4 linked regions of the Caenorhabditis elegans genome follow. The protein of the gene in region 1 interacts with the protein of each later gene in a pairwise test. Each region holds a gene or a part of one and is shown on either strand. Other genes may lie near its edges.

Region 1 (7,553 bases):
CATATATATAAATAGTCAGTTTCAAGTGCGATTTAGTTTTACAAGACCTTGCGAGAAAATGATTTCCATAATGTTTTCTTTACTTATATTATTGAGTTTGTTTTGTTTTGGTTTTGTGGTCAAAAATATGCATATAGTTGAAACTTTTAAAAAACTTTTGCCTTTTTTGAAAAGCATTTTTTTTTGCTTTTTTATGTTGATCAACGGAAAATTGAAATATTTCCAGGTAGTCCTTGTATCAGAACTCTACGCAAATTTAATGCAAAAGCGAGCTCGTAACATGTCCCGAGAAGCTTTTATAGTGGAGAATCTCTATGTTTCCAAACACATCATACCATTCATACCAACTGATATCCGATGTATTCGATATATTGATCAAACTGCCGATGCTGCTACCATTTCCACGTCATCGTCTGCAATTGATATGCAAAGTTGTAGATTTTGTCATTCAAGATATTCTCTCAATCGTGCATTCAAATAGATTTTCCATTTTTATATTTTGTCATCTTTTTTAGTTTTCAAATAGGGAAAATGGTTTTCTCAAATCAGTATTTCAGTTTTGAGACATTTTTCTCCATTATTTTAATGGGTTCTAAATACAGTCATCGCGTGTTTAATATAACCTTCAAGATGAAAAATGAAAAATTCTGTGCAAAAAAAACCACTTTTCCATTTTGAAATTTCAATTATTTCACATCCTTAACTCACCGCCCTTTCCCTAATTAAAAACGGGCTAAAATTTCTATAAATTATCGATTTTTTTTCATTTTCTTTCCCTTTTCCAAAAAAATGTCACCGTATTTTCACATCCAGGTGATCTGCTCTTTCAAACTATCCCGAAAACCTTGCTTTTTATAAAGTTTGCCTGAACAGATCACAATGATTTCATATCTTTTCAATTCCATCTTCACACGACATTCCGTTTTTCATATTTTGTCCTATAAAATATTTTGCTAGTTGTATTTTTATTTTACAATAAATTTTGATTAATTTGTTTCGGTTTAAATTAACAAAACAATAATTTAGCAGCACAGATGTGTTCCCAATATTATAAGGAGCAAAATATAATTCCAAATTAAAAAATACCGCCCTTCTTTGACTGCTGTTTTCTCATGTACCTGTGCTTGTAATGAGAATATAACTTCCTAAACTCACTAAACTGCGTATCTTCAAACTGGCGTATCTTGAAACATGAATGCCTAGGAAACAAATGTTCAACTGACATAATGATCAGAAATGTTTTTTCTTTCTTTTAAAATCTTTGTCATTTTTAAATACCAATTATTCGTTGCGTTACATTGAGTCAAAGCCATTTTACCAAAATCCACAAAAATTTTTGAAAACTTTTCTGTTCTACCAGTCATAACTCAACATCCATCTAATTTCATAAAAAAATCTTTGTTGTGTAGTAAAACTGAAAAACATTTTACCACATTTTATCAATTTTGAGGTTTTTGATATTTTCATGTTCAGCCAAGTTACAGACCATTTTCTAAAAAAATCCAGTTTCATCCATAAAACTCTTCATATCATTGCTAGTTGTGTTATCTCTTTCTGAATAAAATTTGATAAATTTGTTTCGGTTTAATTGAAAATAGAAAAAAAAAACAAGTGTAACAAAAAAGACACTATAATCACTCTAATAGAACTACAAATGAGACAAAACAAATTTCAAGGGAACAAAACTGGAAAGATTGGGACAGTAATCGATAAATTGCGACAAATATTAGGATTCTGCAGCTTTTTTCTCGGGGGTTTCACTAGATTCTTCGTTTTTTGGCTCTTCTTTTGACTCGGACTTCTCCTCGGACTTATCTGGAAAATTTCAATTAATACAAATGAAACAAAAATATTTAATTTTTGTTTAGAAATTTATATATTTACCCGAAAATTTTTCGTTTAATTTTTTCGAAAAATCCCTCGTTTTCTTGATTTTCGTCAATAGTTTCTGCATTCTCAGCTACTGGCTCACTTCTCCGTTTTTGTGATTCTGATGCACCTATAAATTAGTAATTTTGGATTGAAAAGAATCAAAAATCAGTTTTGGGGAAAAATTGAGATTACAAGTGCATCAGAATGCAAAAAAAAAAACAAGACTTTCAGGTATTTTTCAAACAACTTTAAAATTTTACAAACTTTTTGAATCTTTACAACCAATAATGTCGGTTTAAAAAAAAAAAATTAATGAATTTTTTTTGGTAATTTCTCGATTTTTTAAAGACAACTTTTTGATAAAACCTTTGTTTCAAATTGAAATCATATTTTTTCACCTTCAGACTTCTTTTCCTCATTTTTCTTCGTCTCCTTCTCCTCGGTTTTCTGATTTTTCTCCAATCCTTTGATGGTTCCATCTTTCAGCTGTTCCGTCGCAGCCCAAGCCAACATAATTTGTTTCTGTTCGGCTGTCAAATATTTCGGAACCGTTACTTTAATATGCATATATTGATCTCCATTTCCGTAAGAATGCAATCGTTTTACTCCTTTTCCTGTTAATCTGAAAATTGTTTAATGAATATTTAAGTTCCAATTTTTGGAGATTTATTACCTCATTTTAGTGTGACTGCCAGTTCCTGCCGGAATATGAACATATGTATCTCCATTAATTCCAGGAACCTTTACAGTACCACCAAGAACAGCTTGAGCCAGAGAAATATCTACGTCACAGTGAATATCATCTTTCTCACGTCGGAATTTCAAAGATGGTGCAACGTTGAAACGAACAAATAATTGATTTTTCCCCACTTGGAACTTCAAACTATCTCCATTATTAGTTCCAGCTGGCACATTGAATGATACTTGACGTCGTTGAACGGTTTGACCTTCACCTTCACATTCTTGACAAGGATTCTGAAGAAAAAATTAAAAGCTACAATAAAAGAAAAATCAATAACTCTACCTTATTATAATGTCCACTTCCTCTGCATCGATTACAAGTTGTTTGATAGAAGAAACCACCCTGAAGACGTTGAGAAACTGCTCCAGTTCCGTTACAATACGGACACGACGTCTTTTTGTGACCTGGTTCAACTTGAGTTCCGTGACATTTCAGACAATCTTCAACTACGTTTACAGAAACATTTTTGGTGGCTCCTCGGACAGCTTCTTCGAACGAAATATCCATAACCATTTCCTGAGCAGCAGAATGTCCGAAAGCACTTTGGGCAAAATTATCAAAATTAAAGCCACCCTGGAATCAGCGAAAAAATAAATAAAACTGTAGTTTTTATTAATTACAATAAAAATTATATAATTAATATAATATTCAGAAGAATTCATAAGGAGAACTCACCATTCCACCCCCTCCACCAAATGCTCTTCTGAAAATTTCGTTAACATCAACATTTCCATGGTGGTGGAAACCTCCAGCACCACCTCTTCCACCAGCTGGGCCACCTCCGCTTCCGTATGCATCATATTCTTGACGTTTTGTGTCATCGGAAAGTACCTTAATATTTTTGATTCGAGCCTGCTCTATTGTTTGTTGAAAATACCTCATATGCTTCAGAAATCTCTTGAAATTTCGTCTGCGCTTCTTTTGTTTTGTTTACATCTGGATGGTATTTCTTGGCAAGCTGAAATAACGTATTTATACTTACAAAGTATTCGATAAAAACTTATATTACCTGGAAATAAGCCTTTTTGATTGCTTTTGCATCAGATTTTTTGTCGACACCCAAAGTCTTATAATAATCTTCTTTGCTTAGTGCATGCGTTGTGTGAAGTTGAGCTGTAACATAATGTTTTAAAAAAGCAGAAAAGAATTGGTTTATCACCAAATGGAGAATTATTAACCTAATTTTGTTGTGGAAGTCGTAGGCGTGGATACTTGAGCTAATAAAGGTACAGATCGATGAATGAGCCCGCTTGAACGGTTTAAGACAAACATTCCGAGTACCCTGAAACAAATTCACATTTTAAAATATAGAACATTCTAAAATAAATAATAAATTAATAAAATTAAAATAAAAAAATAAATGTTTTTTCAAGCTGTCTGCAAACACCGTCACGGTAAAACACACATTTCGGACGGAACATCGGAGCATCGTTTGGATTTTTCAATTTTCAACTTTTTCTCCGCGAATTTCAAAATCCGGCTCTTTTTCGGGAAACAATGCTTATTTACTTTCAACAATAATAAAGCTGGAATGGATGAACCGGATAAGGAGAAAATCACGAAAGTCATCAACGTATGTAGTAAAGAGTCTATAGAAATATGACTTGATGGATTTTCGCTAATTGAAAAAATCAGCTTTTCTGACCAGCAAATAAAATAAAAGAACCACTAAAATGATAATAATATTTACTGAAAGAAAGTAAAAAAAAAATAAATAAAGAAAGTTTGATTGTATTATTTGACAGAAAAAATAATGGTCCTATTTGGACGTCATTGTCACATCATCGCTTCGAGTATCATCGCCCTGCATCGAATTTGTAGAATCCAATGACGATTTGCTTTTCTTCGACCTCTTCAGGATCCTATTCATTGTGTGACCATCGAACTTCATCGACTGCACTTTTGTCCAATTGGCACGGAGTCCAGGGAGGATTCTGTGACTCTTTGTAGTCTTTTTCGATGCCGATGACACTGGACGAGCTGGAAAAATATAAATTTGCATACTTATACGCTTATTTATAACATTTCTTACGCGGAATGAATCTGGCAGCAGGCAGTTCAGTTCTTTGATCATCCATACGTGAGCTCATACTGAAAATGAGATCCATCATGTCTACGGGTTCCTCGTTCTCTTTCTTTTCGATCGCCACTGGTTTCTTCTGGTCGTCAATGATTCCGTTGACAATCATTTCCCAGGTTTCCACATTTGTTGCGTGCTCCAGTTCGACGACGAACTTATTAATCATGTCATTCGAGGATGTCGGATCAGGAGACGAATCAATTGCGAGGCATACATCTTGATCAGTTGCCGTTTCGCTTCTCTCTTGATTCATCGCCACGTCGATCTGCTCGTAGAACAGTTTGAAACTGTTTTGGTTGATGGTCAGAACACTCCCCAAGATGATAAAATAAGCAGCTTGGCGTCTTTTTCCAAGTGCAATGAGGCACTTTGCGATTGTAAGCAACACATCTCCAATGTATTCGTTCAATCCAAGCTTCCGAATCGATACAAGCGCTTCCAATCCGTAGAGATATGCTTCGTGGAATTCGCCATTTCTCAGCATCTCTTCGGATAGCTTCGACTTATATTTGACTACATCTCGCTCTTTTCCGAATTTCGTGGCGTAGAAGAGAGCACTTCTGTGAATAAAGAATTGATATTTTTATTAATCGTTAAAACTAAAAATTACCTGAGATCTCTGATAATAAAGAAAAGAAGATCTGTCTCAGCATATAGAGCCTTGTCGTAATAGGCGATGTGAACTGCTTCAAACTGGTCTGTTTTGATGGCAAAATCGATGCATTCTTGATACTTGCGACGCGATTCCTCGTATTTTTCGTCTAGTGACAAGCATTTCGCCTCAAGTAACATGATTTTGGTCTCAGACACAGCTCCTTCCGTATTATTCTCGTTGAACAATTTCACGGCTGCAATCTGTTCAGCACATATTGACAAAAGCTTCTTCTTCTCATCTTGATTACTCTCGACGTCTCTTTCACATCCTTCGAGGCACACGGAAGCGAACAAAATTCGAGCTTGACCGATATACTTCTCTCCGTTCTTCTTATTGCTGGTGTAATCAATGAGATCCTCAGCAAACCGTCGAGCCTTGGGGAACTTTCCCATTTTGAGTGCCTGCTCGACGATGCGACGTGTGGAATCACATGCTTCTGGGTAGTTGAAGATCAATCTGAAAAATTAAGGTTATAGAATGTCCAGCTCATTTTTGTGATTCACTTACTTGAACATGTTCAACTCATGTTCGAAAAACTCCAAGGCCTTGGCATCATGGTTCAAATGCCTGCACACTCTTCCGTAATACATGTAGATTGTACCAAGTAGTTGAAAATTTGAGGTTCCGAACTCCATTATCTCCTCTAAGCGTCCTTTTCCATCCTCGTATTGTCCCAATCTCATGGCCGTCACCGCGCTTTTCAGCATTGCTTCGGCGACTTCATCCTTGGGACCATCGTAATAAGAGACGTCCATTCGTTTTGCGAATGTGGAAACTTCTGAAATGAATCGAAAATTGCAAGCAAAAATAAAAGAAATAGAGGAATTTTACGGAAACAGGCAAAACATTCCCGCGATCTCCACGAATACACGAAATATTTAAAACGGGGAAAGTTTCTTCAAATATCTCACGAGGTTTAATAGACTATTGCACATTTTGTTATAAATTTTACAAATCTTCAATAAAACAACCGCTGACAAACAAATAAACTTGAAAAATGACTCGAGAATCTCGAGACAGATCTGTGGGGAAGTGAAAATTGGCGGTTAACGCGTAGTTTTTTCTCGCGCACTCAACTTCTAATTTGGCGCCGCTTTCTGATATGTCGTCAAATGTGTTGCCGATGTACGTAAGTACACCATTACGCGCATTTGCACACTCACAATCAGTGGAGTTTCTCCGCGAATTTCAAAATCCGGCTCTTTTTCGTGAAAAATGCTGACTTTCAACGATAATAAAGCTGGAATGAATGGACTGGATAAGGAGAAAATCACGAAAGTCATCGAAGAAAACACATCAGCGTCCTACTCGTCGTTTTCCAAAAAACAACAATCAAGAATTGAAGAGAAAGTTTTAGAAATCAAAAATCGTTTGCAAACAGCAACCAGAGAAGAAAGACAAAAATCTGAGATACTGGTATGTATTTTAAAAGCTAATAAATTTACTTAGAGCAAATTTCCAATTTTCAGATGGAGAATCTTGAGATGAAACTGGAATCATCTAGAGATTTATCAAGAGACTGTGTTTGTATAGATATGGATGCTTATTTTGCCGCAGTTGAAATGAGAGATAATCCTGCACTGAGAACAGTTCCTATGGCCGTAGGCTCATCGGCAATGCTGGTAAGCACCTAACTCAATTTGAAAAGTAAATTTTCGATTTCGGAAAAGCTTTAAATCTATTCTTTCAGAGCACATCCAACTACTTGGCTCGCCGTTTTGGAGTCCGTGCTGGAATGCCTGGCTTCATCTCAAATAAACTTTGTCCGAGTCTAACGATTGTTCCAGGAAATTACCCTAAATACACTAAAGTCAGTCGCCAATTTTCACAAATTTTCATGGAATACGATTCGGATGTTGGAATGATGTCATTGGATGAGGCATTTATAGATTTGACAGACTATGTGGCAAGTAATACAGAAAAAAGTTAGTGATTTAGATTTGATTATTAACAAAAAACTATTTGCTTACTAGAAACCTTCAAGCGTCACAGATTCGGCGGAGATTGTCCATGTTGGTTACCCCGTTTCGACGAGAATGAAAATACTTTGGAAGACTTGAAAATCGAAGAATCGATCTGTCCAAAATGCGAAAAATCGCGGAAAATCTACTACGACCATGTGGAGTTCGGAACTGGACGAGAGGAGGCTGTTCGAGAAATTCGATTTCGAGTTGAACAACTCACGGGATTAACATGTTCTGCTG
Region 2 (7,487 bases), on another chromosome or scaffold:
TTTGGCAAAACTTGGTTTTTAATAGTTTTTTTTTTGCATTTGGCTTCAATTTCCCCGAATTTTCAGATTTTTTAATCGAAAAAGTGCTCTTAAAGCTCACAAAGAATCTCGAGCCGCTAAATCAGTGGATTTTCGGGGATTTCACGAGAAAACTCATTTCTCGTAGTTTAAATGGCATTTTCCGAACCTTTGGTCTTTCTTCTCTAAGAAGTGCTCGAGATTCCAGAAATTGATTTTTTTTCCAGAAAAAAACGTTATAATTGTGAGGAAATCGACATTTTTTCTTGCATTTGGCACTATTTTCTCCGTATTTTTAGATTATTTAAAGGTGGACTACGCTCAGTGGGGAAATTGCTTTAAAACACGCCTATGGGGTCACAATGACAGAATATCATGATTAAAAAATTCAAAATTTTTTTTTATGATTTTAAATGATTTTTTGAAAATTGAAAAAATCTCAGTTTTCACCTAATTCCTATTTGAATTTCCGCCAATTGAACTCGTTCGTTGGAGCGCGCTTGCATTATTTTCATTAATTAATTCTATTTCTTCTCATTATTGGACTGATTTTCTTCATTTTTTGTGGTTTTTCATCGGAAAATCGAAGAAAACAACAAGAAAAATGCAAAATGATTTTTTAAAAGTAACTGAAAATGCGTAAAACTGTAAAATATACTAATTTCAGGCTTGTCGTTGTCAGAACTCAAGAAATCACAGTTTTAGAAAATTTCAGTTAATTTTTAACAAACAATTTGCATTTTTCTTGTTTATTTCTCTTCCATTTTCCGATGAAAAACTCCAAAAAATGAAGAAAATCAGTCCAATAATGAGAAGAAATAAAATTTTGAAAATTAATGAAAATAATGCAAGCGCGCTCCATTGAAAAAATCCAATTGGCGGAAATTCAAAAATAATTAGGTGAAAACTGAGATTTTTTTTCAATTTTCAAAAAATCATATAAAATCAGGGAAATTTTTTTGAATTTTTTAATCATGATATTCTGTCATTGTGGCCCCATAGGCGTGTTTTAAAGCAATTTCCCCACTGGGTCCGCCTTTAAAAAATCTAAAAATTCGGAGAAAATAGTGCCAAATGCAAGAAAAAATGTCGATTTCCTCACAATTATAACGTTTTTTCTGGAAAAAAAATCAATTTCTGGAATCTCGAGCACTTCTTAGAGAAGAAAGAACAAAGGTTCGGAAAATGCCATTTAAACTACTAGAAATGTCAATTTTCTCGTGAAATCCCCGAAAAATCCACTGATTTAGCGGCTCGAGATTCTTTGTGAGCTTTAAGAGCACTTTTTCGATTAAAAAATCTGAAAATTCGGGGAAATTGAAGCCAAATGCAAAAAAAAAACTATTAAAAACCAAGTTTTGCCAAATTTTACCACTTTCTCAAGCCATTTCTCAATTAAAATCGCCGAAAAATTGAGATTTTTAGTTAATTTTTGACGTTTTCGATGGGCAAATTTAAATTTCAATAAAGCAAGTTCCCCACAGGGTTTAGTCCACCTTTAATCAAAAAAGTGCTGCTTTAAAGCTCACAAAGAATCTCGAGCCGCTCTCCTTGCTCAAACGGAAGATCTGTCTCTCGTTCCCCTGTGAATTTGAATGTTCCGACGACAACCTCAATGATAGGCTTCTTGTAGGCGGCCAGCAGGCTTGCCTCAGTCAAAACTCGCATTTTAAAATGATTCAACAACGCCGGAATGTCTGGAAACGACTGATTCGCGATTTTCACGCCAGCTGCAGCAGTTCCATCTTCTTTCGGTTCTCCTCTTTCAATCAAATAATGACAAACGGCATTTCCCTCGTCGGCTTCACGTACTGTCAGTGAATATTCACCGGGGCGTGAGCTATCCCGCATTAGGAAGGTGCCGATCGATACTTGTGGCTCGCCGAGCAACTTGTGAGCCTCTTCACGGCTCATTCCTGGGAAGTAGAATGAACGCCACTCGAATGGATCGAACCCGTTTGTCGTCATTTCTGAAAATGCGGGAAATTGTTTAGAAACGTGGAATTTTTAGGCGCGCAAAATTGGTCAAAGTTGGGAAAATTTTCTGGAAAACGTAACCCAAATAGACGGAAAATCATCAAAAATCACGAGAAATTCCTAAAAATCCAGAAAAAAAAGACGAAAAATCAAGAAAAATTATATAAAAGGGGAAAGTTTTTTCGGCTGAAAAATGCTTAAAATCTTGTTTTTGAGAGCGAAAATTTATGAAAATCGGCCAAAAATCACCATCTTTGAGAAGAAAACGCAAAAATCTTCAAAAAAAAAATCAAGAATTTCGTGGGAAAAAATATTTTAAAATGAATAAAAATATGATTTTCAACCTAAACATTGCTGAAAATGTGAAAAAACGGGTGAAAATTCGATTTTTTAAAGGAAAACGAGTCAATATAGGCAGAAAATTGGATGAAAAAGTTGGAAATTGAATAATAATTAGCGTGATTTTCCAAGAAAATCAAGGAATTTCCATTTAAAAAATTCAGGAAATGAACAAAAATGGATGTTTTTTTGGCTGAAAAAATGCTGAAAATCAGTTAAAAATCGGCCAAAACTTGCGTGGAAAAATCAAAAAATCAGGAATTTCGTTGGAAAAGTACCTTAAAATGGCAAAAAATAAGATTTTAAAGAAAGAAATTGCTGAAAATCGTGGTTTTGGCACAGAAAATCTAGTAATTCTAGTGAAAATTTCTGAAAAATAAATGAACATTGGAGAAAATGGTACTTTTAGGAAGAAAAATCGATTGGACACAGTGAAAATTTTCAAATTTTGGTAGGAAATGGCGAGTTTTAGGGAAAAAGAGGGCAAAATAGTTGAGTTTTTCGGCTAAATTATGGGAAAAATGAAGAATTTTTTTGAAAAACTGTGTTAAAAAATTGGAAAACATGGCGAAATCGAGAATTTCGAGCAGAATAAGCAGGTTTTTAGGCTAAAGTTCGGTTTTTAGTAGAAGAAAATTGAAAAATACGCTTAAAACCTTTATTTTCGAATATATTTCATACTAAATTTACCGATTTCTTGTTTTTATACGCATTGAAACACCAATTATTCGTAAAAATGAGGAAATTGATGAGCAATTTTCCCAGGCAATGACTCATAAGCTTCTTGTCGACTGGAGCCAAAGTTTACACATTTTAAATACGTATTTTACGATGCGCAACCGCAAAAAATCAAGAAAATCTCCGAAAACTGGTGAGAAATTGCAAACAAACGACTTTTTTTGCACGCAAAAATAAATTGTCAGCTGTTGCGCTTGTCCGAGAGGAGTACACGATGAGGTGTGCGGGGGACTTGCAACACGCGACCCCGCCCACTTTTCCGCGCCGCATTGCAATTTGAATTCGGAATTTTGCGCGAAAAGTTGCGTTTTGCGGGAAGTTTTCCGGGTTTTTTACAGTTTTTTGCTATAATTTTCAAGTTTAAAGGTTAAAATATCAAAAATCACTCAAAATTTTCCGACTTTTTCAGCAGCTTTCCATCCTCCGAGATGAGTGTCTCGTTTATGGAGTTGGGCTCGGCCGACTCGGCAGAAGCGGCGGCGAACAAGGTGGCACACCACGTCGAGCAGATGATGGAGACATCGGATTTCTTCGATCGCCTCACACAACACGGCACGACGCCCGTCTCCGGTCTCGGCGAGAAGTTTTATGTGAAGGGAGCGCCGGAGTTTGTGAGCACACGGCGAATCCCAATACCCGGAGAGCTTCAAATGCAAATGAGCAGTGAGAGAGCATTGTTTCCGATGGGGGGGTTTTTCAGCGAAAAATTGGTGAATTTTCAGATATTCACAGCGAGTTTAGCATGGGATTCTTCACACAAATCAGCCGAGTTTGGGTCGTCATTGATAACAATCTCTATATGTGGAATTACGAGACAAAGTAAGCGGAAAAGCCGAAAAATACCGAAAAAAAATCGAATTTTCAGCGACGATTTGGCGTTTTTCGACTCATCAGACGCTGCAATTCTGAAGGTGTCGCTGGTGAACATCAAGCCAGGCGTTTTTGAGCCGGAAATTCAATATGGGCTCGTTGTCGGCACAATTTCCGATATATGTCTTTATCCGGTCTTTGATTTCGTGGAAAATGGCGCCAGTAGCATTTCTATCGACTCAAAACGATGCTTCAAGGTTCGAAATTCGAGTGAAAATGGAGAAAAAAGAAGGAAGAATTACCAAGAAAACCCAAGTTTTTGAATCAAAAATCGCAAAAGTTTGGAGATTTTGAGTCTTCAAAACACGGGAAAATCGATGTTCCGTGCGATTTTTACTTAAAAATCGACAAAAAAAATTTAAACAACGGGATTTTTCGTCTATTTCTAGCTCAAATTTGCTGATAACGCTTTTCTGTTTTTTTTTCTACTCGAAAACTTGAAAATCCGAGTTTCTGACTAATTTTTTGAGTCTTCAAAGCAATTTTACATCAAAAATGCTCATTTCAAACCAAAAATTGGGGATTTCGATAATCTTCAATTTTTATTCGTTTTTTTTAGAACAATTTGTCGTTGAAAACGCTCATTTCAAGCCGAATTTTCGAAAATATGTGTTGTTTTATGCGAAAATCTCCAATTTTTCATTTATTTTCCGATAAAAAAAGCTCATTTTAAGCCTAAATTTTCCCAAAAATTGAGCTTTTCAACAATTTCTCTAGAAAATCGCAAATTTCCATTAAAAAGCTCAATTTTTTTTGCGAGAATTTTTCAAAAATGAGCTAAAATTTCGAAAATAACAGTAATTTTCGACGAGAAACTTCAATATAACACAAAAACGGTATTTTCAAGCCAAATTTTTTTCTAAAAAATTTAAAATTTTGAAAATAAACACAGTTTTTTGCGGAAATCTTCAATTTTTCATTAATTTTTCTGAAAAAAAAGCTCATTTTAAGCCAAAATTTTCCTTAAAAATCTGAAATTTCCAGCACTTTACTATAATTCCAGTACATAAAAACGCTCCTTTTAAGTCTATTTTTTTTCTAAAATTGAGCTCAAATTTTATTTTTTCACATAATTTCCAGAAAAATCTTCCATTTTCAGCAATTTCTCTAGAAAATCGTCAAATTTTTATGTTGTATCTGGCAAATCCCCATTAAAAAGCTCAATTTTAAGCCAAAATTGTTCTGAAATGAGCGAAAATTTTGAAAATATCACTAGTTTTAGACGATACTCTTTATTTTTTTTAAATATATTTTCTGAAAACGAAACCCATTTCAAGCCAAAATTATCATAAAAATCCCCAAATCGTCAATTTTTATATGAATTTCATCGCAATTTTACATTGGAAAACACTCCAAAAATTGAGCTTTTTCAGCAATTTCTCTAGAAAATCCCCAATTTTTTTTTTCAGATAGCCCTTGACGGAGCAACAGTGAATGATATTTCGTATACTTCAAATGGTCGAGTATTCTATACAGCCGACGATCAACTCTTCGAATTCGTCTACGAGAAACAAAACGGATGGTTTGGCTCCACAAATCACAAGTGTCGAGGTGTAAATCAAACTGCATCAATTCTCGGAACACTGATCTCTCTACCATTCTTCGGCTCTTCAAAAGAGCCCCTCGATCAGATTACAATCGATAAATCCCGAAATATCATGTATTTGCTCGGCCGAGCCGGCACCGTCAGTGTCTGGGATCTCGGAGCGGATGGAGCAGCTTGTGCCAAATTTTTGAGTGTTCCCATCTCGAAAATTGCACATGAAGCTCATATTCTGACGCAATTCGGTCACGATGAGACATCTTTTCACAGTATTACATCGATTAAGGCGTTGGAAGCTTCACAATCGGCTGCGCTTAACCTAGTTGCAACTACTGCCAAAGGAGTTCGATTGTACTTTTCAGTGTCGACGGGCCCGCAGTCTACGATGGCTATGTTTAATAATAGTGGAACACCTAATGAAAGAGTTCGTTTTTTAGCCGAAAATTTGGAAAAATCGGGATTTAACAAACAAGAGTAAAAAAAAAGAGTAAAAAAGTTGTATCTAGTTTTTAAACCAATGCTCTCGTCGAAAGTTTTTTACTTTAAAAAAAACCATTAAAAATTAGATATTTTCGAGCTTTCTGGGCAAAAATTGTAAAATTTTCGGCCGAAACCCAGGAAACTGAGCGATTTTTTCAAATTCACTTTTTTTGAAGCTCCAATCAATTTTAGAGCAGAATTTCAAGACTATAAAAAGTTAAAGGTGGAGTACCGAAATTTGAGACTTTCCTTTTTTTAGACCCAAAATAATCCAAAACTACCAAATTTCGTAATGAGACGTTCTGAAAATTTTTCAAAAAAAAAGTTATGGCCGCTCAAAGTTTTCGAAAAAATGGCATATTTTTAGTTAAAGCCCCGAATTTCGGCAACTTCTCGGAGTCGCAGCGGTTGGGGATCTTAATTTTTATTTGATCGTCATCTTTCAATGCATTTTTTGGCATTTTATTACTTGTTATTTCGTTGATTGAGATGGTTTTTTGGCCAATGAGGACGCAAAATTGTATCATATATGCGTCCCTATTGGCCAAAAAACATCTCTGCCAACGAAATTACACGTAATAAAATGCCAAAACGTGCATTAAAGGATGCCAATCAAATAAAAATTAATTAAGTTCTAACCGCTGCAACACCGATAAGTTGCCAAAATTTGAGATTTTAGCTAAAAATAGGCCGTTTTTTCCAAAACTTTGAGCGGCCATAACTTTTTTTTTGAAAAATTTTCAGAACGTCTCTTTACGAAATTTGGTAGTTTTGGGCCATTTTGTGTCTAAAAAAAGGAAAGTCTCAAATTTCGGTACCCCACCTTTAACTTTTTATAGTCTTGAAATTCTGCTCTAAAATTGATTGGAGCTTCAAAAAAAGTGAATTTGAAAAAATCGCTCAGTTTCCTGGGTTTCGGCCGAAAATTTTACAATTTTTGCCCAGAAAGCTCGAAAATATCTAATTTTCAATGGTTTTTTCAAAGTAAAAACCTCTTGACGAGAGCATTGGTTTAAAAACTAGATACAACTTTTTTACTCATTTGAATTAAATTTAGGACATTAACCCCATATTTATTGGTTTTGAATTCTTTTTCGAGCAGTTTTTAGCTTTTTTTTAAATTAAAAATTACTAAAGGTGGTGTAGTCGAATTTTTTTGATTGGTTTATTACGCTCAAAATTGTCTGAAAACACCGAATTTCATAATGAAACTTCATGAAAACTTCTCGATAAAAAAGTTATGACGCCTCAAAAAATGGCCTACAATTAGTTAAAATCGGAAATTTGACCGACTTGTCAATGTAGCAGCGGCTAGCAACAATTTTTTTTTTGAAATCACCGTCTAATTTTGAGTATACACATCAATTTCACTCAAAATTTGACGGTGATTTCAAAAAAATTGTTACCAGCCGCTGCGGCATTGACAAGTTGGTCAAATTTCAAATTTTAACTAATTTTAGACCATTTTTTGAGCCGTCATAACTTTTTTATGAGAAGTTTTCAAGAAGTTTCATTATGAAAT
Region 3 (7,546 bases), on another chromosome or scaffold:
TTGAATAGTAATAAATAGGTGGGGAAGATTATTTTGGTCAAGTTTGGTGCTGCGAAAATCATTGGGAGCCGAGAAATGGCCTCTGAAGCAAATACGAACGTTCCAGGACAATCCTAGGCGTTCCACGTGTTTTCAGGGGTTATATTTATTTTTTAAATGTGAAAATGAAACCGTCTGATTATTTTGGTGTAAAGTTATTCACAAAATAAACTTATTAATTAAGAAGAAAACCCCGATTTTACCGAAAATTGCCAAAAATCAGAGGGGGTGCTATAGAAGTTGGACGGCCATTTTTCCGATATTTTGACCTAATTCCTGTGATTTTTGAGATATCATAATGAAAATTGGGGAGCATAGGTTTTTCAACATTTGCTATCGAACTGCACTAACACTTTTTCAAAAAATATTTTGAGAGGCTCCATACCGCCAAATTGGAGGGGGGTGCTATAGAAGTTGGACGCACTGTAGTACACACGTACCAAATTGAATTATATCTATAGGTATAATTACGTTTTCTTTTTTACAAATTATGTTTCAAAAACCAAAAATTCAAATTTTCAAAAATGTTTCTTAGCAAATCTCCCTTTTCTTCTTTTCCAAACTATTTTTACTATTCTTTTTGCTTTCTTGTCCTCAATTATTTCAAGTTGCGACACTTTTTTCTCCTCCAACCGCCGGCGCTTGGTGTTTCACCAAATCGCCTATCATAAAAGTTTGCACACCACATGTATCGGAAACTCAAAGCAAACAGTGTAAGGGGGCCATAAAATGGATGGTTCAATTGTTATAGTAGAAAGGGAATATAAAGTACAAAAATAGTGCTACTCACCTCATCACACTTGGCACATCTCGGCTTGACCTGTTCAGCATGGTGTCTTCCACAGTAGATCTGCAAATTTTTACTGTTTTGTGAAAAAAACATAAACTTTTATAAAACTTTTATCACGGTCTCAAAATAGAATGATCAAATAACATCGTAAGACATCCCAAAATTTTTTTTGTAGAGATGATGAGTCTGCAGTAATTCTCGAAATTTTTCAATTTTAAATCAAATTTTAAAATGAGAAATTTGACAATTAGGCAAAACTATTACCGAACATTTTTGACAAATCTAAAAATGTTTGGGTTGTTGTTGATTATATAAAATTGACTATATGTATTGACCATTGACACATTGTCTATATCTTCCAAAAAATTCAATTTCTGATAGTAAAAATTACTTTTTAAAAAATTCCTAACCTGATTGTCGTGTGCAAAATAAATCAAATCAACAAGTAGAACATCACACGTTTGACACCGAAAACACGATGGATGATATCTTTTTCCAGTTCTTGCAGCCATCACACTGATTTCTCCTTCTTCAAGACGTTTTGGACACTGAAAATTTACATATTCTAGTCGTGTTTTCAAAATTTGTTGAATAATTGAATAATCCTGATTACTCCAGAACGAGTTAATTTGTAATTTGTGTCTCAATTTCATTTTCATTTTCTCATTGAAATCCGGAGAGATGATAAAGATCTAAAATCCAACATCTTCCAAATGAGATGTGCCATTCAAATTCATCTTCAAATCTCAATCTGTCACATACAATTTGTTCACATTTTGTTGCGTTTTCGCTATGCAAAATCTGGCGAAAAGAAATGCATTAACAACATGTAGTACAAGATATTTTTCACTGTTTCAGAAACAAATAAAATTAATCGTCCAAATTCTTCATTTTATTGTTAGGACAGTCTCCACAAAATATACTCCCCGCCGTCTCGAGCAGGTGTTTTTAATGAAAGCAAAAAAGTATTTATATGGACTAGATTACAAGATAAGTAGCAACATTATACGGTCAAGTGCATCCTCCAGCCGGTGGTTCAGTTTCTCCATGTGTTTCTATAGTTATGTAAATACAAGATGGTATGCCCCTACTGCTACCCTCTTGACCGTCTTAGAATCTTTGTTGGTAGTTGTAATTTAAATTTATTTTTAAGAATCAAATATTTAAATTCTCAGTTGTTTAAAGTGTGCACATTGTGAATTTTCTCTTCTGTTATAAGTTAAGTAACCTCCGCATTAACAACAGACATGTACAACCATAAGTTGATAAGACCTCGCGTCTAATCTGACAACCAGACACCTAAAATTTTGAAATGGATTAGGCAACAGACACCTCTAAACAGAAAAACGTGACAGGGTAATCCTAGGGAAAAACTGCCTGTCTTCTGCCTACGCCTGGGAGGCACGTAGAAAGGTAGTGAAGACGTACCTACCTATTTCACAACTTCAATACTTTTGTTTTCCAAGTTCTTGTACTCAGCTAATCCTCAATATTCGGCGATAATTACTTGTAAACTATCAACAACTAACAAGTACCCTTGACACGCACACGGGTAACAATTGGAACTGACACATCCAATTCAGAAAACAACATGACACTGCCTGAATTGTCTACAAAAGGCAGATGTTCCCATGTCTCCTAATTCAGGTCTTCAAACCAGATACTTGGAGGGGCAACCAACTGGGCGAAGGGTATCAAATGCGCGAAAACCCCTGACTATGAGAGGGATCCTCTAAGAAAAGTGATTGATGACATGGTAACATGGCACCCAGGAAGACCATCTGTTCGGCACTTCCCTTCCAAAAATATACTGTTTCTTTCACCCTATAATTGACTTCTTGCTTTCCTTCTCATTTTCCTTGTTAATCTTGTTATGAGTAGTGTTTAGATCAAAACGCCCCGCGCGCGCATATCGGAAGAAGCTTTGTTTGATCTACCTACCATCTACCCATGACCGGATTAGATTAACACTGAGACGGCTCTAATCAGATTATAACTCAATGAACAAACTAAAGAGAACGAGCAGAAGGAGCGGAAATTGAGTATATTACTGTACATAACATTTACATTTACTAACTTAAGCTAGACCCCTAGCAACCCTTGGAAATTCAAAAGCAAAAATTCTAAATTCCTAAAACGAAAATCCAAGCTAACCCCAACAATGAGCCCCGTTGTCTCTCCTATTAATAAACATGTAACGATGCATAGGTAATTAGCAGTGACTGCTGCTGCTCAGCTTCTCCTCTGACAAACAGCCGGAGCTTCGTAGTAAAAGAAAGATGGATGAACATTGACAATAATTGCATATTGTCTATGACTCTATCTCTGTTTCTCTATTTCTCTCCAATATTTAGATGTTGCAATAATAATTGCAGACAGTCGGTTGCCATTGAATGAAATTATCGTCAGTGGAGATTTATTCGAAATCCACTTATTATAACACAAAAAACCACATATCATAATTTAAATACTTCAAAAATGTTCAGTTTTTTCAAAGTTTCAGTTAAAGTATGGGTGTATTGTTTCAAAAAATGTTAAAATTTAAAAAAATAAATTTTGAGCATAGTTTCGTACTACTAGAATGTTTAAATAGCAGGTTCGTACAACTAAAATGTTTAAATACAAACGATTAAAACGAAATTGGAAACTCGTAGAAAGTATTTTTGAACGCCTTCCAAAATTATAGTAATGAAAAATGAGTTTTTCCCACTTTTTGACTGTATGTAAAATAAAATCAAAAATTTATTTGAACATTTTAACACTATACATAGAAGCTTTTTTTACGGTACTGACGATACCTTCAAAAACGATATCAGAAAATTAAAAAAAAAAGGTTTATTTTTCGACGAATTTTCATGATTCCATTTGTCCCTTTCAAGTTGCTGCAACTATTCTCATGCCGTACAAAAATCTAACACCTAAGCAGCTGGCTTCCCCCATCGAGGTCAACAACCTCTTCTTCTCATTCTTCAGAACTTTTTTGCCGCACTCTCGTAAGTGGGACTATCCGAGAGCAGACGGCCCTCGCCGTTGTTAATGAGCATGACCTTTCTCAAATTTCCGTCATTGTTTATTCTCAAGTGTAAGACAGTGCCTACACGTTGGGAATGCAAAGGCAAAAAGCCGCCCGACAAAAAAGAAGCCGTGAAGATGATGATGAGGAGCATCCCAGCATAAGCATAGATGATGGTGCGCGGAAAGAGAGCGCTCGCGCATAAAGATTTATGAGTTTTGGGGATGGTGCGGAAAGACGAAAAAGAAAATGTTGTTTATGGTTTCATACGCCACAGTTTGGCAAGATTTACGGTTGTGCTCAAATGGGTCGAATGTCATAATAAGGCCGGGTGACGATTTTTCAATAAAACCAAACAAATTTTGATGGAAAATACTAACCTTTTCACATTTTGTATCAAATGGAGCATATTGAACAACACCACTTCCCAGGCATTCAGTTTTTCGAGTTCTTTCAAACATTCGCAATGTATCCGCTTCTTCTGCATTTAAATCTTCACAATATCTAACATCAGAATCCTGTGGTGGTAGTTGATAACGTGATTGACGTTGTCGCCATTTTTCTCCAGCTGATCCAATGAATGGTACCTTGTTTTCCGGGAGACAGGCGAAGTAGGCATGAACCTGTAAGAATTTGAATTTGAATTTGAATTTGAATCAGTATTTGAAGTGCACAAAAAACCATCTGTTTTGAACGGTCCACAGGTTGTGAACATTTTAATTGGTCTAGGTTTTGGTGTTCAAAAACCTAATTCAATTGTTCTTTATTGCACACGAGATCATTCAAAATCTCTATACTTACCATATTCGGCTTCAGACCACTAGGCACCCATGCATACTCGTCCAAAGCACATCCACTGTCATCATCAGATGTTGAATGCCTGTGAGCATCAGCTGCAATTCGGATTCTCGAAGCAGGCGATAGACCACCTTGAGCTCGACGTGATGAGATGAGCTGCGGTGCGAATTGCTCCGATGCTTCGAGACGACGACGGCGAATTCGTTCGCTCATCTGAAATAGGGACTATGAATTGAAAATAACACATTTTCATAAGAGAATGGCAAATTATACGATAAAGTTGAGGTTGACTTGGAAAAAAAGAAAAATAGTGTATGCAAAATCACTTCAAAAAAGCCTCCAAAAAAGGGTGTGTTAAGTGTTAAGTGTGAAAAGAAGACCAGTCCCTCTCTATAACCTTTTTGCTGCCATATAAAAATGTCAATCACTTTGGCAACACCATCACCATCATCCACAAAACTAGACCGGTCTCTCCATTGCCCCGTAAATCCCCACGACGACATCTGACCGTTTCATTTCTCATTTCACTGCAGAAAAGGACATCGTCTTCTTCGTAATGTTGATTCAATTAGAGAAAAAGATTCCGAAATCTTCAACTAGAAGACGACGTCCCGTTGAAGAATGAAAAATAGTAAAGAATCGGGAGACGTGTGTTTATGCTAATTTGATATGGCCTTGTAATAGAGGAATGACTGTTTGCCGTCGCGCACGCCGCCCCGTTTTGTCTCTGTCATTATACTGGTAATAACGGAAAAGTGACGGTAACTAATGGATTAATAGGAACATCTCAAAGGAAGAACTTTAAGATCTCAACGAATCTAAAGTTTTACTGTTGATTCCGACTTTGCGGTAGTGTGTTCGCAAAAAAGTAATAAAAGTAACAAAATTTACCATGATAGTTCCTGTGCATTTTAGAATGTGAAAATTACATACGCTTCATAATTTATATTTGAAGCATTATTCTATTATAGAGATTGTGGCAAGATCCATCAAGAGGAGTAGAAGACACCTTTAAAGTCTCACGTCATGTTTTCACAAACTCTCGGTACTTGAGGATATTTTTATAAACTATTTTCTAGGTCCTTTGGAAGTATTAGTGTTTTCACAAAATTTTATTACTGTTTCAAGGTGGCCATAAATTGCGAGGGTAATGTTTTTGAGTAATTACAACTGTTATTTGTTGTTAAGGAAAAAATTGCTGGCACAATCTTTTGAGAAAAATAAAATGAGAAAAACGAGCCATGAAAAAACTATTTCGAATATTCAAGTAACTCGAGCTTTTGTGAGAGCGGAGAAAAATTATTGTAAGAAAATATAAATGTGTGTTGGAAAAAATATAGGAAGGCGTAGAATGCCTAGTTTGAAAATTTCTGTAAAGATGAAAATGATTTCTGCTCAAGCTCTTGTAGCAGTTCTGAAATTGCCATCACTTCACGATTTCAATATTGAACGCAACAACACCCTGTACTACCAGAACACCAGAATGTGTATAGCGTACAAAAAATGACTCATTTTGCGGTAAGAATGAAATTGTGAAAATTGAAAACTTAAAACAAAAGTGAAACTAATGTGGAGGGCGTTGACCGGAACCGCATGGAATATCTCCCATCAGAACCCAAAAGCTACAAGGATCCTCCCACATCAACTAGAAGGGTGAGACGCAGACCGAGAAGCAGTATTTTGAGGGCGGGGTTAACAGTCTTACCGCATGTGTTTATGTACCCCTCATCTCGGCCAGGAAGGGTCTATATATGTGTGTGTGTCTATGGGTGACAGGTGTTATGATACATCGGTACTAAAGATGTTATCGGTTAGAGATTGGAAGTCCCTGGAGGGTATTGGAGTTGGTTTTAATCTAATAGAGGTGAATAGAGTTGCGGTAGATCAAAAGTTGAGGGCTCTTTTTCAAGTCTTAGATGTAATGATTAGATTACTATTTAATTATGAACTCTTATAAGATACTAAGATACTAATTATGAACTCTAATTTCCGCTCTCAAGCCTGCTCCAACAGAATTTCAACGCCTATTAAAACGGTAATAATTCCAAGAAGAAGACCGCACAAAAAAGCGACGCATTGAGGACAGGGGCGCAATGGTGAGGACCGAACGAGAAAAGACAATAAATCGTTTTTGACACTTTTTTGCGTCGGTGCCCTATGATGCGCATGTGTGAGTGAGACGAGAGACAGACACCTCACATCACGGAAGACAGCCGGTGATGGTGATGATGGTGCATGAGAAGGGGATGAGGAGGAGAAGGTTCATTAACAGAATGCATATCATGATATCAGAATGTCAAACGTTTGCCCGAAAAAGATACCATTGGCCCAGAAGTTGCCAAAGCTTGGGCCGAACTTGGGTAAGATTTGAGCGAAAATCGGTTGAGGCCGCACTGAAGTTTAAAAAAAAACCAAGTTTGGCAAATCCCCTTGAATGCTAATATTTTTGTAAATAATATATTAACGTTTCAAATTGTGTTGCATCCACCGTTTGGAAATTTTGGTTGTTTCTCATATTTTTATTATAGTTTCAAGGTGGCCATAAACTACTTGAGAATTTTTTTGAGTATTGAATAATCAATACTAGCAAACGTTTGGCAAAGAGTTGAAATGCCGAGATTATTTTTGAAAACAAGGTCTATGAAAGTTGAATTAAAAAACGTTCTAAAGTGTTGGAAAAAGTGGTTGGTATATTGCGATGCAAGACTGTTAGAGGGTATGAACGGAAAATATCGACAATGGCCTGAAAATTCAAAATACGATTTCAGTTTACTAAACTCTATTCTGAAAGTGAATAGTTTTCAAAGGTTATGTTAAAACTTACATTTGAACACTTTTAATTACTCAAAAGAATTACCCTCGCCATTTATGGACACCTTGAAACAGTAATAAAATTTGGAGAAAAC
Region 4 (7,950 bases), on another chromosome or scaffold:
TAAGTTTTTATATACTGTCCAGATCTAAATAAACATTCTAAGTTTCCTTATCCGTAGCAATGTTTTGTTGGCAGACTACAATAGCTCGATTTTCATGGAAAATGTTGCAGACTCTGTTTAGAATTAAAATTTCCTATTCAGAATTCGATGTATTCAACTTCAAATTGTCCGAATATAAAGGAATACTGCAAAACTTTTAAATACCAAACATTTTTAATCCAACTTTGAGGTTTTCCAAAAACATGCACTTTTGCGTCATGGTGTTTGCGTACACTCGATTTACGAAATGCATTTTACTTGACGCGCAGCATTTTTGTTTGTTGTTTTTTGCAAATTCCTCTTGCAATTAATTTTCTCGTCATGGGAGTAGACGATTTGCTTATTAAAAATGCTCAAAAAACTATTGATCGATTGATCCGGCAGTTAGCAGAAATAGAACAAGAAGAGTGAGTGAATTTTTTGTTTGTTTTTTACTTTCAAATGTTTCTTTGTTCAGGAATAATCTCGAAGAAGACGAATACAGGGAATTGCGTGAAGACACTGTAAATCAACTTCAGGAATATGGAAAAATAGTCGAACGCCTGCAAGGCGGAGATGTTTCTTTAATTGATGATCTCACGGCGACTAAAATTGCGATTCGAACAGCAATAAGTAAAGCCTTCAAAACACCTGAAATTATGGCTTTATTTGCTGGAAAACATACTGGTCTTTTACGAGAAAAATTGATGATGGTAACTAATCTCAATGATATTATCGTTTAAAATTTAATTTTCAGACAGAAACCAACTACCGATCTCAAAAAATGCCGAAGCAAGGGTATCTGGAAAGGAAATTTGAAATTTTGATGGCACTGAGACGCCTTGAAGAAACATTAACAGAAGATGAAAGGAAGTTTCTCAGTGATCGATTAGAAACACCAGAATTCCAATTAATTGAGGCAAATGCGAATCGTCTTTTCAGTGGAAATGTGTAATTTTTATTAAATTATGAATTTTTACTTGTATATAAACTATAATTTTTTTTTAATGTTTTTAATCAAAAATCGCTTGTTTTATATCGGTTTTAACCATGCTGCTCAATTTATCTTTGTTTCCCACGAATGATTTTATTCCTAGGACCTCACCAGTTTTCAGAGTACAAATAATGGCTTCTCCAAAAAAACCAAAAAAAGTTAGGTTAGATGATAAAACGGAAAATGTATCACCTCCATGGAAAGCCTGGTGGCACACGGAAAAGAAACGGAAGTTTTATACGAATGATAAGACAAAAGAAAGTTTATGGGATCATCCAAACACCCGAAAAAATGAGGAAAAATCTCCGGTTAAAGCGAAAACGAGAAAACGGAAAGATGTAGAGGAAAATATCCATGGGACCATGGATGATGATAAAATGGTAACTATTAATTATCAATTAACAGATTAATTTATTCATTAAAATTTAGGAAGTCGATGTGGTACCCCCGCCAAAGCGGAAGTCTATGGAGAAGTTGGATGATGAAGAGTTTTCATGGAAGAGGCCAAGAAGATCGGACAGTTCGGAGAGAATAACGAAAAAAGAAGACATTCCCAGCTGCAGTGGCGTTAGTGTTGATATAATTATTAAGCTCTTTTAAAATAAAAATCAGTTGCAGGTAGAATCTCATTCCAATAAAATGCTACCACGTGTTCCATGGTCTTCTGAAGTTCGACCATTCAAAGATTTGCATTATCGTGCGTGTGCCATATTCGATACCTGTGCTCTTCTGGGAAATCCTGATGTTCTCAATGCTTCCATCGAAAGTAAAATATAGAGAATGATATTATTATTGAAATTTCTATTATTTTCAGAACAAATTCTCACAGTCATTCCATATTTTACATTATCTGAGCTAGATGGTCTTAAAAACGGATCAGGACACACTCGAATTGTAGCTAATTGTGCAAATAATAGTATAAAAGATCTTCTGGAAGAGAAGAATCAGTACTTGCATGTCGAGACGAGCACAGAGCAACAGATTCAGATAAACGGCTTCAGTGCAAACACAACTGTTGTAGATGATTTGATTCTAAGAACTGCATTGCGAATAAAAAGAGAAAGTAAGTTTTTTTCTTAAATTAAGATTCGAGAATATACCACAATTTTCAGTAATGTCAATTCCATCTACAATGAACCTCAATGATCGTGCTATTATACTCGTCACCGAGGATGTGAATCTTTCAAACAAAGCACTGACTCATGATCTGCACGTTGAGACAGTTAAATCATTCATGGACACCATTCATGGTCGGAAGAAACAACAAACGGATTCGGATCAACTAAATAGTTCAAGGAAGTCTTCGAATTCTGATAGAAGACAAACTACTAGGAAAGAACATCATGCTAATTCTCATTCTAACAAATACACTAGCAACGACATAAAATACAAAAGGAACGAAGCTGTTAAAAGTGTAAAGAAACATCGCGAATTGGAAAGTTGGATCAACGACTTAGCCAAAAAAGATGCTGGTCGCAATGCTGGTTTTGTTAAAGAAAACAAAGTAGAGGTAACAAAAAATTATTATTTTGTAAATTAAAATATGTTTTCAGGCTCCCAGAAAATCTCGACCATCGATCCCACTAGCAGACGAGATCACTCTTCAACCGTCTTCCTCAAACTCGGAATCATTTAAACCAAGAAAGACATATCCCTCATCAACATATCAATCATCTCAAAATGGAAACGTAGTCAAGACGACCAAGCCAAATAGTAATCGCCCAAAAATTCCGTTAAGCCTTTCGGATGACGAATGTACCTTCAACGACAATATGGATTGTTCCTGAATATTGTTTCCTATTTATAATTATGATTTTTCTGCATTCCTGCATCCGGTCTCATTGCATGTACGGTGTACTTTAGTGAATTATTTAGTGAATAAATGTTTTTTATGTTTTTTTTTACTTCAAACTTAATAGAATACCGCTAAATCAATAGAAATGTTTCGATTGTTTTTGCTTTCTAAATATATAAATCCAAAAAGCAATCAGAAGTTTAAGAAGAGACACTGCAGAATTTCAAGAACGGGGGCTTGCTGATTAAAAAATTTGCAGCAAGCATTATTCACAAATTTTCTACAAACTGCTTTCATAAAGTTTATTTATATCTTTTAATGTTTAAAACGGCAATTTAAAGCACAGTAACTTTTCTTAATCAAAAATAGTTCGATAGACAACTAATTTTTCTCACAAATCGTTGTCTCCCGATAATCGATTCTTTTGTGTACAGAGAGCGCGCTCCAGTGAACATTCTTTTTTTGCTCGCGACGGAGACAGAAATGGAAATTCTCTGATAATTCGAGTGTTCCTTTTCATTTTTTTTTATTATTCCAATGAATAATTTGATGTTTGTATAACCTTTTCGATATTTCAAATAAGATTTAATGTTTTCTAGACTTTTAAGCGATTTCGTAATCCTCGAATCGAATTTCCGGCTGATTTATGAGACTTTAAATATATTTAAGTTTTCAGGTAATGTCTGGCACAGCAAGCTTAGTTCATACTCTGCCGGCCAGTGGTGATTCTAATCATCGTGGACTTCACAGCTGTATGTTTATTCAACCTTTCAAAAAACAATGCAATAAACTTTTCAGTGAAAAATTCGCGTCGTGCTGCCGATAATGAACCACTTCTTCGATTTCGAGAAGCTAAAAAGGTTCTTGGGGATGTCTATGGAGAACTGAAAGACAATGTGGCTGAACTAGAAGGTGTTTACAAAGGTATTTTCTGTTTTTTACTTCGCCGCAAATATAAACCCACAAAAGTTCCAGATATTAAAGAGAACGACTTTGTTAGTTCTGAACAGCGGGAAGAAATCGAAGCAATTGGCGATTCAATCAAAACTATAATGGACACATTTCAAAGAGATAACATGAAGGTTGTATTTTTCGGAAGAACCAGCAACGGAAAGAGTACAACTATCAATGCGATGCTTCATGAGAAAGTGTTGCCCCAGGGAATGGGACATACAACATGTTGCTTTCTGCAGGTGAGAATCACTTTTTTTTCATATTTTATTGTAAATTTTTGAAATTTCCAGGTTGAAGGTTCAGAAGGCGAAGTTGGCCATCTACAATTAGATGATAATCCCCAAAAGATTGATATGAAAATGCTTGGAAAAATTGGACACGCACTGAGTGACGAAAATTCAGATCTTCCGGCAATGGGACAGGATTCTCTTTTGAAAGTGTTTCATCCAAAGAAATCGGAATCAGGGGAATGCCGACTTCTTCAAAACGACGTCGTCATACTTGATAGCCCTGGTGTCGATCTTTCTCCAGAATTCGATAGCTGGATTGACAAACATTGTTTAGATGCAGATGTATTTGTGCTTGTATCAAATGCGGAATCAACATTGACACAAGCCGAAAAGAACTTCTTCCTTCGAGTCGCGAAGAAGCTTAGCAAGCCCAACGTATTTATTCTCAATAATCGATGGGACGCCAGTGCAGCAGAAACAGAAAACATCGAAGATGTAAAAAAGCAGCATTTGACGAGATTCCGTCAGTTTTTGGTCGATGAGCTTGAAGTGTGCTCAGAAAGAGAAGTCAATGATCGAATCTTCTTTGTTTCATCGAGAGAAGTTTTGGAATCACGATTAAAAGCTAGGGGACTGGTACAAAAAGCCTATCAAGCAGAAGGTCATGGCACAAGAGCCTTGGAATTCCAAAATTTCGAACGACATTTTGAGCATTGTATCTCTCGATCGGCGATTCACACGAAATTCGAAGCTCATAACAGGAGAGCTCATGAAATGATCGGAAAAATGCGGCTCAATCTGAATAGCGTGCTAACCTCTGCAGCTGAGCAGAGAAGCAAGCTTCAGAATAATCTAAACGAATCCACCAGGACTTTCAATGAATGCCGTGTAAACTTCACTCAATTTGAAAAAGCTTACCGTGAGCAGACAGAGCAACTGCGAGCCGAAGTTCATCTGAAAGTTTCTGCTGATTTCTTTGAAGAAATAGCACGACTTGATGCAATAATTGATCGATTTGAACAACCTTTCGATGGAAGCTCTTCCGGAATGACAAAGTATAAAGAGGATTTGGCAATCTTTGTGGACAAATGTTTGAGCAGTGATTTGGAAGCTAGATGTACCGGTGGCCTAATGTCAAGAATTTGGAATTTGGAGAATGATATGTTCCGTAAGTGTTTATCTGGGAACTGATGTGTTATAAAAAATTTTTTTTCCAGAATATGTGACAAAAATCCTCGCCGAACCTTATCAGAATAAGCTTGAAGAAGTGTGGCGATATCGTGCTCCTTTCAAATTTAGCATTTGTGTCGATGTCCCTGCTCTTGTCAAGTGAGTTTCGATGGATTTTTTGTGTTTCATTCTTACATTTTTCAGTGATTTCCATGAAGACCTCGAGTTCCGATTCACATTTGGTCTACACGCAATAATTCGTCGCATCATTGCGTATCGAAGCGGCCAACCTGTCACTGCAATCAACACCAATTTGCTTACTCCATTATCACTAAAACAACAATCCGAAAAGAATTCAGTGAGAGATGCAGAAGCTTCTGCAGCTTCCGAAGAACAGGCAATGATGACTCAAATGGTTTTGACATCAGCCGCATTTTTAGCAAACGGAAGTCTTGGAGTGCTAGTTGTTGGTGGTATTGTGTATAAGGCTGTTGGTTGGAGAGTAATTGCTGTCGGAGGAGCGGCCTACGCTGGACTATATGCATGGGAACGAATGCGCTGGAATTCGGGAGCCAAGGAACAACATTTGAAAGAACAGTTCAGATCACATTTAGCTGCTCGAATGCAACAAGTTTCAACAGCTCATACTCATCACTGTGAAACACAAGCTATCAGGTATTTTTTAAACCGTATAGTTTTCAATTCAATTTGTTGTTTTCAGAGAAATGGACCAAGTCTTTGACGGATTGAAAGCAACTGTTGGTGGAGTCCATAGAGAAATGAAAAACGATTTGGATGTACAGAAGACACAAATTGATGCAGTTGATTCAACAATTCGAACATTGGGAACAATCAAGTATGTCCTCTTAGATCTGTGTCAAGAATTAATAAAATTAATTTTCAGAGGAAAAGCAGTGTTTCTTCTCCGAAATCTCGAACAATTTGCATCTTCTTATCTCCGATCGGACTCTCCGCCAACGCCATGAAAATGACTAGTCTGAATTTAACTAATTTTGGTGCTTTTCCCCTTATTCACTCAGTCCTATAGCTTTTAATTCGAACGATTGGTAATCGGTTCAATGTAGATATTTTGATGAGCTGTTTTCTCGTTATTTCTAGACAATTTCAGTAGTTTTAGTGTTTTGATTATGATACTTCTATGAGACGAATAATAATTCGAATAAATTTTTGTCGTTTGATTTTTGAGAAGATATTCAATTATCTGTATTTATATTCATCAGAATTTCTATTTATGTGTTGTGGTATTTGAAAATAGGAAAATATAATTCAGGTATGAATGAAGACGACGATGTTGGAATTTCTGTGGAATTCGATCAATGCACGCAGGAGGTACTGTAGGGAACCAAATATAGAAATAGTTAGAACAAATTTCAGACAATGTTCTACAATTCTTGTCTAGAAGATCGTGACGAAGGAGGAAGCGGAGACATCTCACGTGCTGATTCTGCAGTATGTCTCACGACACCTAGAGATCCGTTTCCAGCTGTTCTACAGGTAATTGAAGATGAACGAAAACTTTTTATAAACTGTTTTTTTTTAGAAGTTCAACTCATCTCGTAAGAATCATCAAATAAAAAAGTTTCATGATAGCAATGTAAAACGATGTCAAGAGTACAGAAAGAGTATGGAACATCAAAGAAATGGGTAAGAAATTCGGATTTTCAAAAACGAATATTAATCATTTTATTTTGAGAACAGACAGTTATTTGCTCACTCAACAACGGCTCGCTGTTCATCTCATCGACTTTATTGATTTACCTGTTAAAGTTAGTTCAAAAACTAAAATAATTTTTATCAAAAATAAACGTTATAATTCAGAAAAATACTCAACGAAGAATATGCACTGATCGTGTGTCGATGCCTCTATACAGATTGACGTCTGGTGGTCTTGAAGTGAACTCGGATTATTATTTTCCAATGGAATCTCCGTATGCGAATATTCAAAAATCTTATGTAAATTTTTAATATTTCTTCTATCAATTATTTAAGTTATTTTAGCTACGAACACTGGCCGACCACCTCACTCGAACTCATCGGAAGCTTAACGAAATATGTGAATTTGTGGAGAGATGTGAAGAACACAGTCAACTGATGCTTCCGACACTGATTACTGTACTCTGTGATTGGGTGAAACAATTTCTTAGAGATCACGCTTGTCATCTCGACGAACTTCGTGCTGAGCGACTGGAAGATCCTTTACAGACATTGGCTCGACTAAATAAAAATATGGAAGAGGTGGAAATAGTGAGAGCAGTGATTGGCGATGATGTTGGAAGACATATTTGGTTATGGGAAGATATTGAAAACTCTTGGAATCGTGTATTCCTGTTAACACAAATGGATGCCATCGCAAAGAAGAGGGATGTTGTCAAGTTGTTACAAAATAAATGGATTCGCGCTTTGTTGTCAATTATGGATCATATTTTCGAAATTGGAAGAGTTCCTGCAGCTATCGACTATTTTGTTTTGCACAAGTGAGTTTCAATTTTATGATTTTTAAAGTTTTAAAACGTAAGATTCTTGCTTGAAAAATTTATATAAATATTTAAGAGAAGAAAAATAAATAATCGCATCTAATGACGTCTGTTCTTGTATCCCTGGTTTCCATTGACTGGTGCACTTTCCTGTCTTTGAGGACATGGACAATATTCGGCATCAGTTCCTGGCTCTCCCTCCTCTCCTGGTGCTCCAGCAGAACCGTTCTCTCCATTATCTCCCTTGTCTCCACGTGGTCCACGCTCTCCTGGTGCTCCTGGAATACCTTGAGC

Evidence for each region.
Region 2: the proteins of dnj-10 (region 1) and npp-8 interact in a two-hybrid assay, tested with the Caenorhabditis elegans proteins (one large-scale study listed by BioGRID).
Region 3: the proteins of dnj-10 (region 1) and prkl-1 interact in a two-hybrid assay, tested with the Caenorhabditis elegans proteins (one large-scale study listed by BioGRID).
Region 4: the proteins of dnj-10 (region 1) and fzo-1 interact in a two-hybrid assay, tested with the Caenorhabditis elegans proteins (one large-scale study listed by BioGRID).

The regions. Positions count from the first base shown.
Region 1 is NC_003281.10:8,627,508-8,635,060, reverse strand, and holds dnj-10 (DnaJ homolog dnj-10), read right to left. Parts: upstream 3,897-7,553; 5' UTR 3,887-3,896; coding exon 3,793-3,886; intron 3,728-3,792; coding exon 3,624-3,727; intron 3,573-3,623; coding exon 3,492-3,572; intron 3,446-3,491; coding exon 3,290-3,445; intron 3,188-3,289; coding exon 2,897-3,187; intron 2,848-2,896; coding exon 2,546-2,847; intron 2,495-2,545; coding exon 2,271-2,494; intron 2,000-2,270; coding exon 1,885-1,999; intron 1,816-1,884; coding exon 1,812-1,815; coding exon of another isoform or gene 1,727-1,811; 3' UTR 1,496-1,726; downstream 1-1,495. Other genes in the region: twk-7 (TWiK family of potassium channels protein 7), read left to right, coding at 227-481; gpr-1 (G-protein regulator 1), read right to left, coding at 4,374-4,594, 4,647-5,254, 5,305-5,805, 5,857-6,104; polk-1 (DNA polymerase kappa), read left to right, coding at 6,565-6,765, 6,819-6,971, 7,040-7,274, 7,323-7,553.
Region 2 is NC_003282.8:1,591,819-1,599,305, reverse strand, and holds the start of npp-8 (Nucleoporin_N domain-containing protein), read left to right. Parts: upstream 1-3,481; 5' UTR 3,482-3,500; coding exon 3,501-3,735; intron 3,736-3,794; coding exon 3,795-3,891; intron 3,892-3,937; coding exon 3,938-4,139; intron 4,140-5,351; coding exon 5,352-5,909; intron 5,910-7,487. Other genes in the region: ced-2 (Cell death abnormality protein 2), read right to left, coding at 1,548-1,986.
Region 3 is NC_003282.8:6,982,083-6,989,628, forward strand, and holds the start of prkl-1 (LIM zinc-binding domain-containing protein), read right to left. Parts: upstream 4,854-7,546; coding exon 4,644-4,853; intron 4,466-4,643; coding exon 4,223-4,465; intron 4,128-4,222; exon of another isoform or gene 3,694-4,127; intron 3,253-3,693; exon of another isoform or gene 3,101-3,252; intron 2,828-3,100; exon of another isoform or gene 2,674-2,827; intron 2,466-2,673; exon of another isoform or gene 2,115-2,465; intron 1,990-2,114; exon of another isoform or gene 1,642-1,989; intron 1,489-1,641; coding exon of another isoform or gene 1,378-1,488; coding exon 1,240-1,377; intron 970-1,239; exon of another isoform or gene 949-969; intron 890-948; coding exon 830-889; intron 1-829.
Region 4 is NC_003280.10:5,831,737-5,839,686, reverse strand, and holds fzo-1 (Transmembrane GTPase fzo-1), read left to right. Parts: upstream 1-3,483; 5' UTR 3,484-3,486; coding exon 3,487-3,559; intron 3,560-3,605; coding exon 3,606-3,731; intron 3,732-3,782; coding exon 3,783-4,000; intron 4,001-4,051; coding exon 4,052-5,159; intron 5,160-5,208; coding exon 5,209-5,320; intron 5,321-5,365; coding exon 5,366-5,836; intron 5,837-5,882; coding exon 5,883-6,017; intron 6,018-6,065; coding exon 6,066-6,147; 3' UTR 6,148-6,359; downstream 6,360-7,950. Other genes in the region: ZK1248.19 (Beta-catenin-interacting ICAT domain-containing protein), read left to right, coding at 361-446, 497-731, 776-973; ZK1248.15 (WW domain-containing protein), read left to right, coding at 1,144-1,392, 1,442-1,579, 1,631-1,778, 1,827-2,075, 2,125-2,522, 2,566-2,799; col-74 (Nematode cuticle collagen N-terminal domain-containing protein), read right to left, coding at 7,756-7,950; gtap-1 (Dynein heavy chain 7, axonemal), read left to right, coding at 6,455-6,511, 6,557-6,676, 6,723-6,826, 6,876-6,948, 7,001-7,135, 7,181-7,656. UniProt on the Caenorhabditis elegans protein: Probable transmembrane GTPase. Mediates mitochondrial fusion. Fusion of mitochondria occurs in many cell types and constitutes an important step in mitochondria morphology, which is balanced between fusion and fission.